3 linked regions of the Pelodiscus sinensis genome follow. The protein of the gene in region 2 purifies or fractionates together with the protein of the main gene of each other region. This does not show direct contact. Links are inferred from orthologs where the notes say so. Each region holds a gene or a part of one and is shown on either strand. Other genes may lie near its edges.

What was found.
Region 1: the proteins of PPP2R2C (region 2) and CCT3 purify together in Homo sapiens (affinity purification with mass spectrometry; 4 studies listed by BioGRID and IntAct, counting the BioPlex papers as one, with this or other methods). This does not show direct contact. The link is inferred for Pelodiscus sinensis from reciprocal best matches to the Homo sapiens genes PPP2R2C and CCT3.
Region 3: the proteins of PPP2R2C (region 2) and CDCA4 purify together in Homo sapiens (affinity purification with mass spectrometry; 4 studies listed by BioGRID and IntAct, counting the BioPlex papers as one, with this or other methods). This does not show direct contact. The link is inferred for Pelodiscus sinensis from reciprocal best matches to the Homo sapiens genes PPP2R2C and CDCA4.

What each region holds. Positions count from the first base shown.
Region 1 is NC_134734.1:16,142,125-16,145,872, reverse strand, and holds the start of CCT3 (T-complex protein 1 subunit gamma), read right to left. Parts: upstream 2,638-3,748; 5' UTR 2,495-2,637; coding exon 2,464-2,494; intron 1,265-2,463; coding exon 1,203-1,264; intron 1-1,202. Other genes in the region: TSACC (TSSK6-activating co-chaperone protein), read left to right, coding at 2,788-3,049. UniProt on the Homo sapiens protein: Component of the chaperonin-containing T-complex (TRiC), a molecular chaperone complex that assists the folding of actin, tubulin and other proteins upon ATP hydrolysis.
Region 2 is NC_134715.1:112,516,158-112,519,905, reverse strand, and holds the start of PPP2R2C (protein phosphatase 2, regulatory subunit B, gamma), read left to right. Parts: upstream 1-1,553; 5' UTR 1,554-2,404; coding exon 2,405-2,591; intron 2,592-3,748. UniProt on the Homo sapiens protein: The B regulatory subunit might modulate substrate selectivity and catalytic activity, and might also direct the localization of the catalytic enzyme to a particular subcellular compartment.
Region 3 is NC_134714.1:17,438,563-17,442,310, reverse strand, and holds the start of CDCA4 (cell division cycle-associated protein 4), read right to left. Parts: upstream 2,849-3,748; 5' UTR 2,716-2,848; intron 2,238-2,715; exon of another isoform or gene 2,076-2,237; intron 1-2,075. UniProt on the Homo sapiens protein: May participate in the regulation of cell proliferation through the E2F/RB pathway. May be involved in molecular regulation of hematopoietic stem cells and progenitor cell lineage commitment and differentiation.

The sequences.
Region 1 (3,748 bases), on a different chromosome or scaffold from region 2:
CCTATGCACACTGTGCCTGTTGAAAGAATTAGGTGTGTAGTTTCTGCTTTTAATCTTCATTTAAATAACACTGAAGAATTTAACTGATTCAGACCTAGTCTAATGTTTCAATTATTGCTTTACACTCTTAAATATGAGGCTACCCAGTCTGATTCTAAGCTGTCTCCTTTTAATATGCTGGGATCAGCACTGAGGGTTTCATTTACACATTAGTGCTTCAAAATTCCAAATGGACTTGAATAATCTCGTCTAACTACACAGAAAATGCAGACCTTGTAATTAACACAAATGACAATTATTTTAGAGTTCTTTGGATGCAGCAAGAGTATGATTTAACCAGGCATGACAATATAACATGAAGGCTAAGATAACAGTCACTTCTACTCGGACATCAGACACAACACAGTAAAACCTATGTTATCCGGTACATCCGGGGATTAGGTGGTGCGGGGGCCGGGATGTGGCCTGCTAGGGAGAGGAGGGCCACGAGCCACTGGCGGGGGGGGGAGGGGGGGGAAGGGGGAGGAAGGATGCAGCCTGATTGGAGGGGGGGGAGTGGAATTGGCGGGGGTGAGCTGCAGGTGATGCCGGGCTGCCAGGAGGAGAGGGTGGAGGGCAGGCAGCCACAAGCCGTGGGGCTGCCAGGATGCGGCCGGTATTAGGCGGTCAGAGCAGCCATTCGTTCCTCCTCCAGGTACATGCTGCATGCACGTCTGGCAGGGGGAGTGTCTGAGGAGCGGCCCAGCTTAAAGCACCAGTTTCTTTTTTTTTTTTTTTTTTGCTTTTAACAAGTTGTTCCCTGGCTCAGAAATGTGGAGGTTTCTAAAGTTTTCCGGCTAGTTAAGTGCTGGATAGCACAGGTTTTACTGTATTTGGACGTAATCATCTGCTCAAGACATTACTCCAAGCTACTTGCTAAACAAGATGTCAAGGTTCAGACATAAGTAAAGTTTTGGATTAACGTTTAATTTTTCTTTTCTTTTTTTGTAGTCACTAAAACAAAAAGTTATATTCAATTGCAGCTGTTGTTTAAGTACAGCAATAGAGTGATCAGCATTTCTTCATGTGAAATTTGTAAAAAAATACCAAGTGAATAATAGTGATGTCAAGGGAGCTGCTGAAAATGTTTCAAGTTCATGATTCTGTGTTTGTCACCTTTTGATTACTAGTTTGCTAACATACTTCATAACATAAAACAGTACCTTGGCAGCATTGACGTTTCCAAGCTGGACCTTCCTTCCAGACTCACGTTTTGTATTCTGACCTATGACATGCAGAAAACAAAAAATAGCAACAGCATGAATACAACTGAAATCTGATCTTGTGAACTCTTAATGGGAAATCTAGTGTTGAGGAAACAATACTGACAACATATCAAGGATGCAATTCTATTTATGTGTACGTGAATTACGGCCAATTCTAAATGAATCCAGCCATTTAAATAAGAGTATCCAAGAGGTACAGACACCAGAATAAAATTATACCAACTTGCTTTCTTAATTTTACCCACATAGAACCAATAAGATTGAAAGTTCAAATGAGTCAATATTCTGGATAATCTACTATAACATTGTTGCACAGTAACTTAATGTGTTTCTTTTGGTGGTGCACATAAGGACATGCTTTAGTACTCAAAATTTATTCCACACAGATGAAAAAAATTAGAAAAATAGAGGAATAGCACATAAGATGAGAAAGGCTGGAAAACAAGAAGGGGAACCTAAATGGGTGGAAGTTATAGGGGATGACCCCCAAGGCTGGAGCAGAAATGTGGGTGTTTACACAATATACTGGAGAAACGACAGACATGCAAATGGAAAGAACTCTAGCAGAACCCAAGAAGAGTGGATCTTAGCGGGCGGCACCAATATCAGGGAAGAACCTGAAAAAAAAGGCAGAAGGACCAGAGGACTCTCGGTACCAGGTGATGGGGGGGGGGGGGGGAGTAGAGAGCTATATGGAGAGGATGACTCAGGAAACAAGGGGGATGGTGGGGATTAGGGATGTTAATGGTTAATAGTTGGGTGCTGGAGCAACCCCACCCATCCCCCGTTTAACCAGTTAAACATTTAACAACCTTGCATCCTTAGTGGGGATGGATAAAATGGGGGAGGGGGAGCCGAGGGGAGCCCAAGGGGGGCTGTGGAGCCTACAGCAGGGGTACGAAAAAAATCTCACGGGGGGGGGGGGGGGGACACTAATGAGGAAGAGAGTGGGGGAGGGGCGTGGAGCAGGGGAGGGGCGCAGGGACCTATAGCGCAGTGGGGGAGGGGTTACAGGAGACCCAGCCGACACGACCCATGGGTTAGGGGGTGGGGGGAGGTGCAGAGAGCGGGGGAGGAGGTTTCCGGGGGGGGGGTTGAGGGAAGGTTTTCTGCCCCCCCCCCCCCCACGAATGGGGGAGGGGCGGGAGCTACACTAGGGGGCCCCCAGCAAGGTGCGCGCTGCCCCCCCCTCACTCACTGAGCACGATCACGGGGCGTTGGCTCATCATCCTGGCGGCGGCGTCTGGGAGCTAAGAAGCCGGCGCGGAACCTTCTGGAGACAGACACGCTCCTACCAGCACTGCCGCTTCACCGCGCCTCGACACCCTACCCCGCCCGTCGCCGCGGCCGGCCAATCGCCGCCCGAGCCAAACGCCCGGCACCCAATAGCGAGGCGGAATTCCGCCAATAGGCCTCGCCCCCTGCTTCTGCACAAGCTCGGTTGAGACGTACCGCCTCAGCGCGTGCGGCTTCAACTGGGAACTACCACCGTTAGGAAGGGGGTGGACAGGGAACACTGCGCATGCGCTCCCAAACTGCGCCTGCGCAGCGCTTCGGCAGAGGTAAAGCCCACATATGCAGAGAGCCGGGCGGTCGTGGTGAGGAAAGTGAGGCGCATGCGCACAAGCGAACAGCAGTTGGCTGGACAAGGAAAGCGAACCCGCTCCGCGCTGTGTCCGTCACGTTCGGGTTTCGGCCACAGAGGCGAGCGGGGAGGAGAGCAGAGCCCTATAGAGAGCTGGCTTTCCCCAGAAGACCCGGGAGTCATAGTCCTTTCCGCCGAGGCATGCTGGGAATTGTAGTCTTCCCCGGGGGGGGGCGGGGGGAGGCTCACTCACACTGGGCATCATGGGAGTTGCGGTTTTACTCCTGGGCATGCTGGGAATTGTAGTTTTACGTTTTGTCACGCTCCGTAGTTTTTTTCCTGAGGCACGATGGGAGTTGTAGGCCTAACCTGGGGCTTCCTTTCACTGGTGTTTCATGGGAGTTGTAGTTTCACAACGAGCCATATGCCCCAGCTGCGTAAGATAGCGCTAGGGCTATCCGGCTATGCACAACATTGAGCACAGATGTGTATTACCTTTGGGAGCTGTGCTGGGTACCACTGACTCACTATCCTGCCCAACTTCTCTCCACACACAGTGGAGTCAGGATAGTAATAGAAATGTAGCCGTGTTAGTCTGGTGTAGCTGAAGAAAAATGCAGGACGATGTAGCACTTTAAAGACGAACAAGATGGTTTATTAGATGATGAGCTTTCGTGGGCCAGACCCACTTCCTCAGATCAAATAGCCAGGACTTACAGTGCAAAAACACCCATTGCCTCTTGTGGCGTAGTGGGGGTGCTGTCTGCTCTGTAACCCGGTGTCCCCTTGCACTGTGATGTGAGATTCTCACTGACTCTCCCAAATGTGTATTAACCCAGACACTTGGGCTACGTCTACACTGGCATGATCTTGTGCAAGAACTCTTCCAGAACAGCGC
Region 2 (3,748 bases):
TTACCTGGGAGTTTTTTGTGATGTAGCGGCTTTTCTCTCCCCCACTTTCCACATCCTAGTGTGCAGGAGCATGATACACAATCATACTATGAGGATTTGCCAAACTAAATCTCATTGAACTATTAAACATGCTGCTTCAGGCAATGGAGAGTACATGATGGTTTACAGCAGCGGTTCTCAAACTTTTTGAGCTCCGGAGACCTTTACATGAATAAAAATGTATGTGGAGCCCCAGCGATCCACTGATTGTCTGTGTTGTACCTATTGATGTTTCTAGTTTGTCAGCCTCATGGAGCCCCTGGAGATGTCTCCTCCGTAGACCACAGTTTGAGAAACACTGGTTTACAGGAAGGTGGAGAAAAACCGCACACTGATAATCACCAAGACAGTTGGGCAATACTTTGAATAGGATGAAATCCTTCCTGGCCTCTGTGGTGATCACCAGATGCACTGAAAAATTAGATTTCATTACCCTATCTTAGCATAGGTGCGAAATAAATTACAGTTTGAATATTATACTTAATAAAAGCTAATTATAACCCACTTTGGAGGGATAAGATTTTGGATGCTGAAGGCTGATCTTATACTGTTTTTTTTCCCTCTCTGACAACCTCAAAAATAATCACAAAAATTGTTCAAAAACTAAAGACAAGATTAAAAATGGACTTTCTATAAGCCTAGTAGAAGACAAACATTAACAGCAAACAAATGCAGCATCTTAATATTTTAGGCTTATTGAAAACAGAGTAAGTGGCCAAAACATCAGTGTGTTTGTGTAGCAAATCTTTTGTCTGCTGCTAAGGCTCATTCTGTGGATTGTTTTCTCAAAAGCAGGCACAGGTAAGCAAATGTTATCATTATGTAAGAGGGTACTGATCTAGCGGGACCCTGAGGGTGCCAACAAACACAGACTGGCTTTTTCAAACTGCTCAGCAACAGCTGAGACACTTTAAATGTTATTCTGCACCTTTTCAATGAAAAGGGAATGGTTTCCAAGTATTTTCTTTGTGTTGATGTTTGTGGTAAAGAGAGAGAGAGAAAGTCATTTGGTAACAGTGCATCGCTCAATCACTAAACCTAAATCGACCTGTATTTAACTTACATGTAAATAAAACAAGATTGTCTTATTTATTTCTCTGTTATATTTTAGTCATTTAAATCACAAGCACTGGTGTCTCTCATTCTTTTCATAATTTTAATCATTACAGGTTTGTTCTCTTCAGTGTAGGATAAAACCGTCATAAAAGTGTCATGAAGAACTTTTCTTCTATAGATCACAGATGTGACTGGTGACCCATCAGATTGGCCACTGTTCTGTGCTGTTTGCTTGTAGTTAATTAATTAGTTAGTTTATTTTGTTCTCCAGTGTTCTTAATATCACACTGCAGAATCTACTGGAAATTGTACATAGGTTGCAGGAGGAGAGATGGAAGAAAGGAGAAGTATTTTAATACATTTGTGTATAGCTGATGACACACAGAATTGCTACATAAATCACACAGATCTAGGGACTTAGAGCTAGACATTTTATGAGCTCCAGAAACACAGTTCTCTAACAGCTGAGTTAAAATACATTTCCTTTAGCTGCTGGTAAAAGTACAGTTGTCTTATTCTTTCCATGATCATTCAATCTCTCCTCTCTCTCTCTCTCTCTCTCTCTCTCTCAGAGAGAGTACTAGTATCTTACAAAGGGAAGGGGAAAAATGAAATTACTTTGTTCACAGCTCTGCATTTTCAGGGCTGAAATGTCCTGTCTAGTAATTGGGAAGTAGCATCTTTGCAAATGCCTGTTGGTCTAGTCAGGGTGAGTGTGTGAATTAGTCCAGAGGTCATAACGTCCTAGGAAAGTTTTATATCAAGTTCAGTGAAAGGAGTTTAGAAGAAATATACAATTTGTAAAGCTGAAGGCAACTTTAGTATCAAGACTTAGTGCTTGATCTAAGAAGCTGCCTAAGTAATAAATGGCTAGCAACAAATCTATTTCCCCAAATACCAGTGATTAGAACTGCATGTAAAATACTTACATCTCTACATATATTTTAGATTTGTGTGTCTGCCTGTCTGTGAGCTTGTCTGTGTGTGTGTGTCTGTCTGTTCAAGAACTCCTTCTAAATCAGTGTTTCTTAAACCTTTTAAGACCAAGGACCAAACAATTTTTTTTATGAGGAACACCAAGGATTTTTTGTTGAGGAAAAAAAAAGGTGATCTGCCCCTTTAAGGATGGCTATTTTAAATTCTGTTCTCTGCAGGACACCTCCGACTGCCTCGCAGCACACCGGTGTGCCACGGAACACAGTTTAAGAAACCCTGTTCTAAACAGTAAGAGCTAGGAGCACCAAATTTGGAGCGCAGCTTCCTCTTATCCTAACTTAAAGCACAGTCAGGGTTTACTTATGCCAAGAAAATGGGAAGTGCTGGGAATGGAAAGGGAGGGGCACCGAGGACGGACATGATACTCAGAATGGCCACTGGGGGCAGTGAGCCTGCAGGGGAGAGCAATGCTGCAAAGAGACCACTTGGGAGGCAGATGCACCACCAAGAGAGTGGCCAGAAGGGCTGGGGCTCCACCGCCTTGCTTGTGACCAGATCAGGTAAGTAGTCTCCCTGCCCCGAATCCTTCTCCTCTCCCCCAGCCCTTGCCCACAGCATGTGGCCGAGGGAGGTCCGTGATGGCTGGGAGGAGCAGGGGGGTGGGGTGGAAAGAAGGCCCTACTGGCTGAGACAGCTGGGGGGATGGAGGGAGGAGAGAGACGAAAAGGCCCTAACAGCTGGGGGAGGGAGAGAAAGCACCACTGGATGGGACCCTCTGCCCTGAACCTCTCTGCATCTCTTACCCCACCATATACATCCCCACCCTCTTGCCTTGCCTGCCCCTACATCTCCAAGGCTCTGCCCTGACTCTTGCACCCCCACAATGCCAGCACCCCTCCCTGAAGAACCCGGGCAATGCTGGGTAAGTCTTTTAGTACTTAATAAGGAACGGATACCCTCTGAGCTGCAGGTCAGCAACATGTCTGAATCGTTTTCTTGTTGGAAACTTTAGTAAGTATTTAATTATATGATAGCCTCACCAGTAAGGATTTCAGGATCTTCCCCTTGCTAACAGCTGCCTGCATTACTATGTATGACCAACATTTCTATGGTCTAAATTTTAAAGGGTACGCCCAGTTGTCCTGACCTACTTTTATCCATGAGTTGACTGTGGCAAGAAGCCAGCTGATTTATTTTCAGAGCTCACACCCTTTGCCTGAGCCCTGCTCAGTTAGCAAATATTTGATATATGTACTGCATTTCTTTCTTATGGGATTTTATGTGATGAAAGATTGTGCAATCCCTTTTCAGGACTTGTCACAGCATGTACATATCTTATGTTGCTTGTTGATTTTTTCCCACTGCTGCCATGTTCACTATGGATTTGCTTTAAAACAGAACAATATAATTAATCTCCTGCCATATTCTGACACCCAACATGATATTAATGCTGGCTCAATCAAACTCATAGGCCTAATAATAGAACTTTTCAAACTCTAAGAGAATCTATGAGGATTGATTTCAGCCACCATTTTGGCTTCTCCCCTCCTGAGCAAGGTATGCCTGGAGCCACATTGCAACAAGTTTAATTTGTCTGATTCAAAGCACTTCTCTGCCTAGAAGTAAAAAAAACAAAAAACCAAAAAAAAAAACCCCCAAAATGTATTAAACATCAGAGCAGCTATGCTGTCATGGACTCATGGGAGAATGCTGCAAA
Region 3 (3,748 bases), on a different chromosome or scaffold from region 2:
CTGATAAATTTAGATTTATCAGGTAGTTGAGTCACTACTACTCACGTTCCCCCACCTTTGCTGCCTCTGTATCAGAGGGAGGGGAGGGAAGGAAGTAGGACCCAGTGCTGGGGGGAACCCCAGCTGTCCCAGGGCCACCCCAGTTCATGTCATCCTGCTGTGGCTCTGCGGCAGGCTCTTACTACATTGAAGATGCAGAACTGCAGTGGTCCTGGAGCTGGCACAAGTTGGGACTGCTTGGTCCCGGCTCATACTGCCCCCCGGGAGCAATTTACATTTAAACTACAGAGCCACAGAGGCAGTAGCGAGCACTCCCCTCCCCCCCAATTGACCAATCCAGTAGTCAGGGGAATAACTTAATTAACTGCCACTTAACATCTCTAATACTCACAGGGAAAAATAGTTAGCCAATGCAAAGCAATGATAAACTTGACCTGTTGCATGTAATTTTAGGTCATTCCCAGGAACAATTATTTTTGCTCCTGAGAACCAATAGGTTCTCTTTGTATCCTCTTATTAAGCAGAGTCCTATTTTTCATAGTTATAGGGTAGCAAAGCCTACTATAGATTTGCCCACTGACATAAAATTAGGGTTTGGGGGCACAAATTGCAATTAAAAAAACCTGAGTTTTTAACCTCTTGCTTTTAAAAAAAAAAAAAAAAATTAAAAAGATCTTGCTGTTTTTCCTGCATCTGCACACAAACCATAGCTACGAACAGGCATTCATAGCAAAAGAGTGTTAACTCTGAAGTGTATGGACATATCTACACTACAAACTTAAATCAACCTACAACCCCCAGAGTGACCACACTAGCCTCCTGTCAGTGGTAAGTGTCCTCACCAAGAGCACTCCCACTGACTAAAGAGACTCCACAGAGCTCCCCTACTGGGTACCCAGCTGCCCCTGGACTTCTTGCCTCCCCAATTCCCAGCTGGTGATGTGGGTGGGGTGAGGAGAGAGCTACCTGGGACTTCATCTCTGGCAGAGAAATCCGAACCTAGAGTCCAGTTGGCTGCTTTGCTCCTGGTGAGGAGTCAAGCGTCCTGTAGGAAGCCAGGAGCAGTCTGTGCAGCCAGGCTTGCTGCACAGACCAAGCAGCTAGAACTCTGGGGGGAGAGGGCAGGGCAGGGCAGGGCAGAGAAGCAAGAAACCCAGCAGGAGCTTAGGTGGCAGCCCAGTTTGGAATGAAGACCTAGGGGTGAGAGTGACAAGACTACATGTCACCCTCCCTACACTGACATAAGCTTTGCAACTCTCATGGAGGTCAAAGCGGTGGTGTACATTTGTATTGGTGGGACCAAGGCTGCACTTAAATAGTTAGATTGACATAAACTGCCTTATGTTGCCCTGTGTAGTGTAGATCGGGGTTCATAATTGTAAATCTTGTTTCTCTGCTGATCACCAAAATAGAGCAATTCAAGAAGTGTACTTGGTCCACTGCTGTTGGACAGTGACAAACGAGGAGAGGTCAAGTTGCTGTCTGTTTAGAAGCTAGAAAGTTGAAGTCCCCTGCCCCCAACAATTTCAAGTAAACATTAACCTCATCTAAAATGGGGAAGCACAATTTCATCCTTTCGTGAGCACTCTACATGAGTGCCAAAGCCCAAACTGTTCCGTTTTCCTGTGTGCCAAAAGCCCCTTGATTTGGTAGTTAATCTCCTTTAGCTACTACAATTCAGAGGCGCCAATACAAAAAATTGCAGCACATGGGCATCTGAAAGCTGGAAGAACAGATTGAATTCAATAGAAAAATAAGTAGTTTGACGAGCACATTTAATTTACAATTACTTGAATGGGGCACAGATCTTCAAATTTGCTGTAGAAGCCTTGCCACGGAATTTTAGGTACCTATTTTGCAAAACTATAAATGGCAGCGCACACCAGACAACATTTCTGAAATACAATAGCAGAGCAGAGCCTGGGTTTGGGGGGGGGGGGGGGGGGAAGCAGCCCTTACCACCAGGGTGGCAACAGCGCCAGGGGGTCACCCCCATCAATACAGGGCGGGGGCAGGAGAGTACAGGGCAGTGAGGAAGGGGACAAGATACAGAGACGATGCAGTGGACAGAGGAAAGGTGCCAGCGTGGTGATGGAGCAGGAAACGCGCAGAGGTGCGTAGGTGGGGGGGGGGTCAGCCCCCCCGATTACAACTATCCCCCACAGGGGCAGGGCAGCGACCCCTCCCCTCCGAGGCAGGACTAGGGCTGGCAGGAGTCTCTCCCAGGAGCACACACGGTACGTGGCGGCGGTGGCAGACGACGGGGAGGGGGAGCGTACGGGAGGAGTTGCGGCCGGCGGGGTTCAGGCGCTGGGGGGCGGCGGGCGCGTGGGGGGTTGCGGGCCAGGGGGCACTGGGGGAGGGCCGCACGCCGGGAGGGGCAGCGAGCGCTGGGCGGGAAGCGGGGAGGGGGCGCGAAAGGGAACAGCGAGCTCAGGCTGCAGGAGGCGCCCCCCGAGAGGCGGCCTAGCCCGCTCCCAGGAGACCCTGGGCGGCGGCGGCAGCTGCTGCTCGTCGCCCCTCTCTGCTCTGGGACCCCGGGGAGGGGGATCCGCCGCCATTTTGAATCCGCTCCCCACCGCGGGCTCTTCCCCGCCCAGCCGCTTCCAGACCGGTGCCCCTGTTTCGCTGCCGCGGACTAAGAGACGATCCCCGGGGGAAGGGGGGGGCAGCTAATCCCGGGACCGCGGAGCGCTTCGGCCCGACCCCACTCACCTCCTCGGCGCCTCCCGACCCGCGCCCGGCTCCCGCCTCACCGACTGCTCCGCGCCTGAGAGAAGGGGCGGGACCAAGCACCCCCGCCAGCCCCGCCTCCTCCCCGCCCGCCATCTTATTGTCAAAGCCCACAAAGAAACGGTCGTTTGCCCCCTCCCTACCCGGCCTGCCATTGGGCGATGCTTCCACCATGTAGCCACGCCCACAGCGAAATCTTGGTCGTCATTGGCAGTCTCCTGACCGTAAAGCACCACCCACACGGCATCCACCCTTCCATTGGATGACGGGTTACCATGGTGCTCAGCCCCACCCCACCCCCCTCCAACGTACGACTGGTTGAGGGGTTACCATAGAGCCCATACCCGCCCCTTAGCTGTCATTGGCTGAGGAAAAGAGCGAGGTGGAGTTTAACGTTCAAATAGCTGCCAATGGGCTAGGCGGGCCCCCTGCCTCTGCCTATTGACGTGACCAGGATCCTGGCCACACTGGCTCCAAAGCCAGCACGAGTGGGGCCTGCCCGAGAGCAGCCCGGGCTCTCTCCTCCCTGCTGCCCCGTGGTGGCAAAGGAGCCCCTCCCCCCTTACCCAGGACCCTGCCCTACTGCTGCATGGGCTCCTCCTGCACATCATGGCTGGGCACCATGTGCCCTCAGCTCCCAGCTTGAAATCTAGTGCATGGCACATGCTTGGCTTTTCCCTTAACAGCAACACCTCTGCTGCCTGCAGGCAGAACCCCAAGGGACCATCCCCACAGCCTTAGGGGGGTCAGACTATGGCTCAGCCTGCTCAGTTTCCTGTTCTGGCAGTAGCTGTTGCTAAATGCTTCAGAGGGAATGAATAGACCAGGGCAATTATTGAGTGATCCTTCTACACTGCAGGCGTCTTGCCCCAGAACTCTTTTGCAAAAGTCTGCCGCAAGAGCACATCCGCAGTGATGTGCTTTTGCACCAAGAGCGTTTTGTGGATGTTCTCTTACCCAAGAAAGCTCTGATGGCCATTTTAGCCATAGGGGTTTCTTGCACAAGAAAACCCTA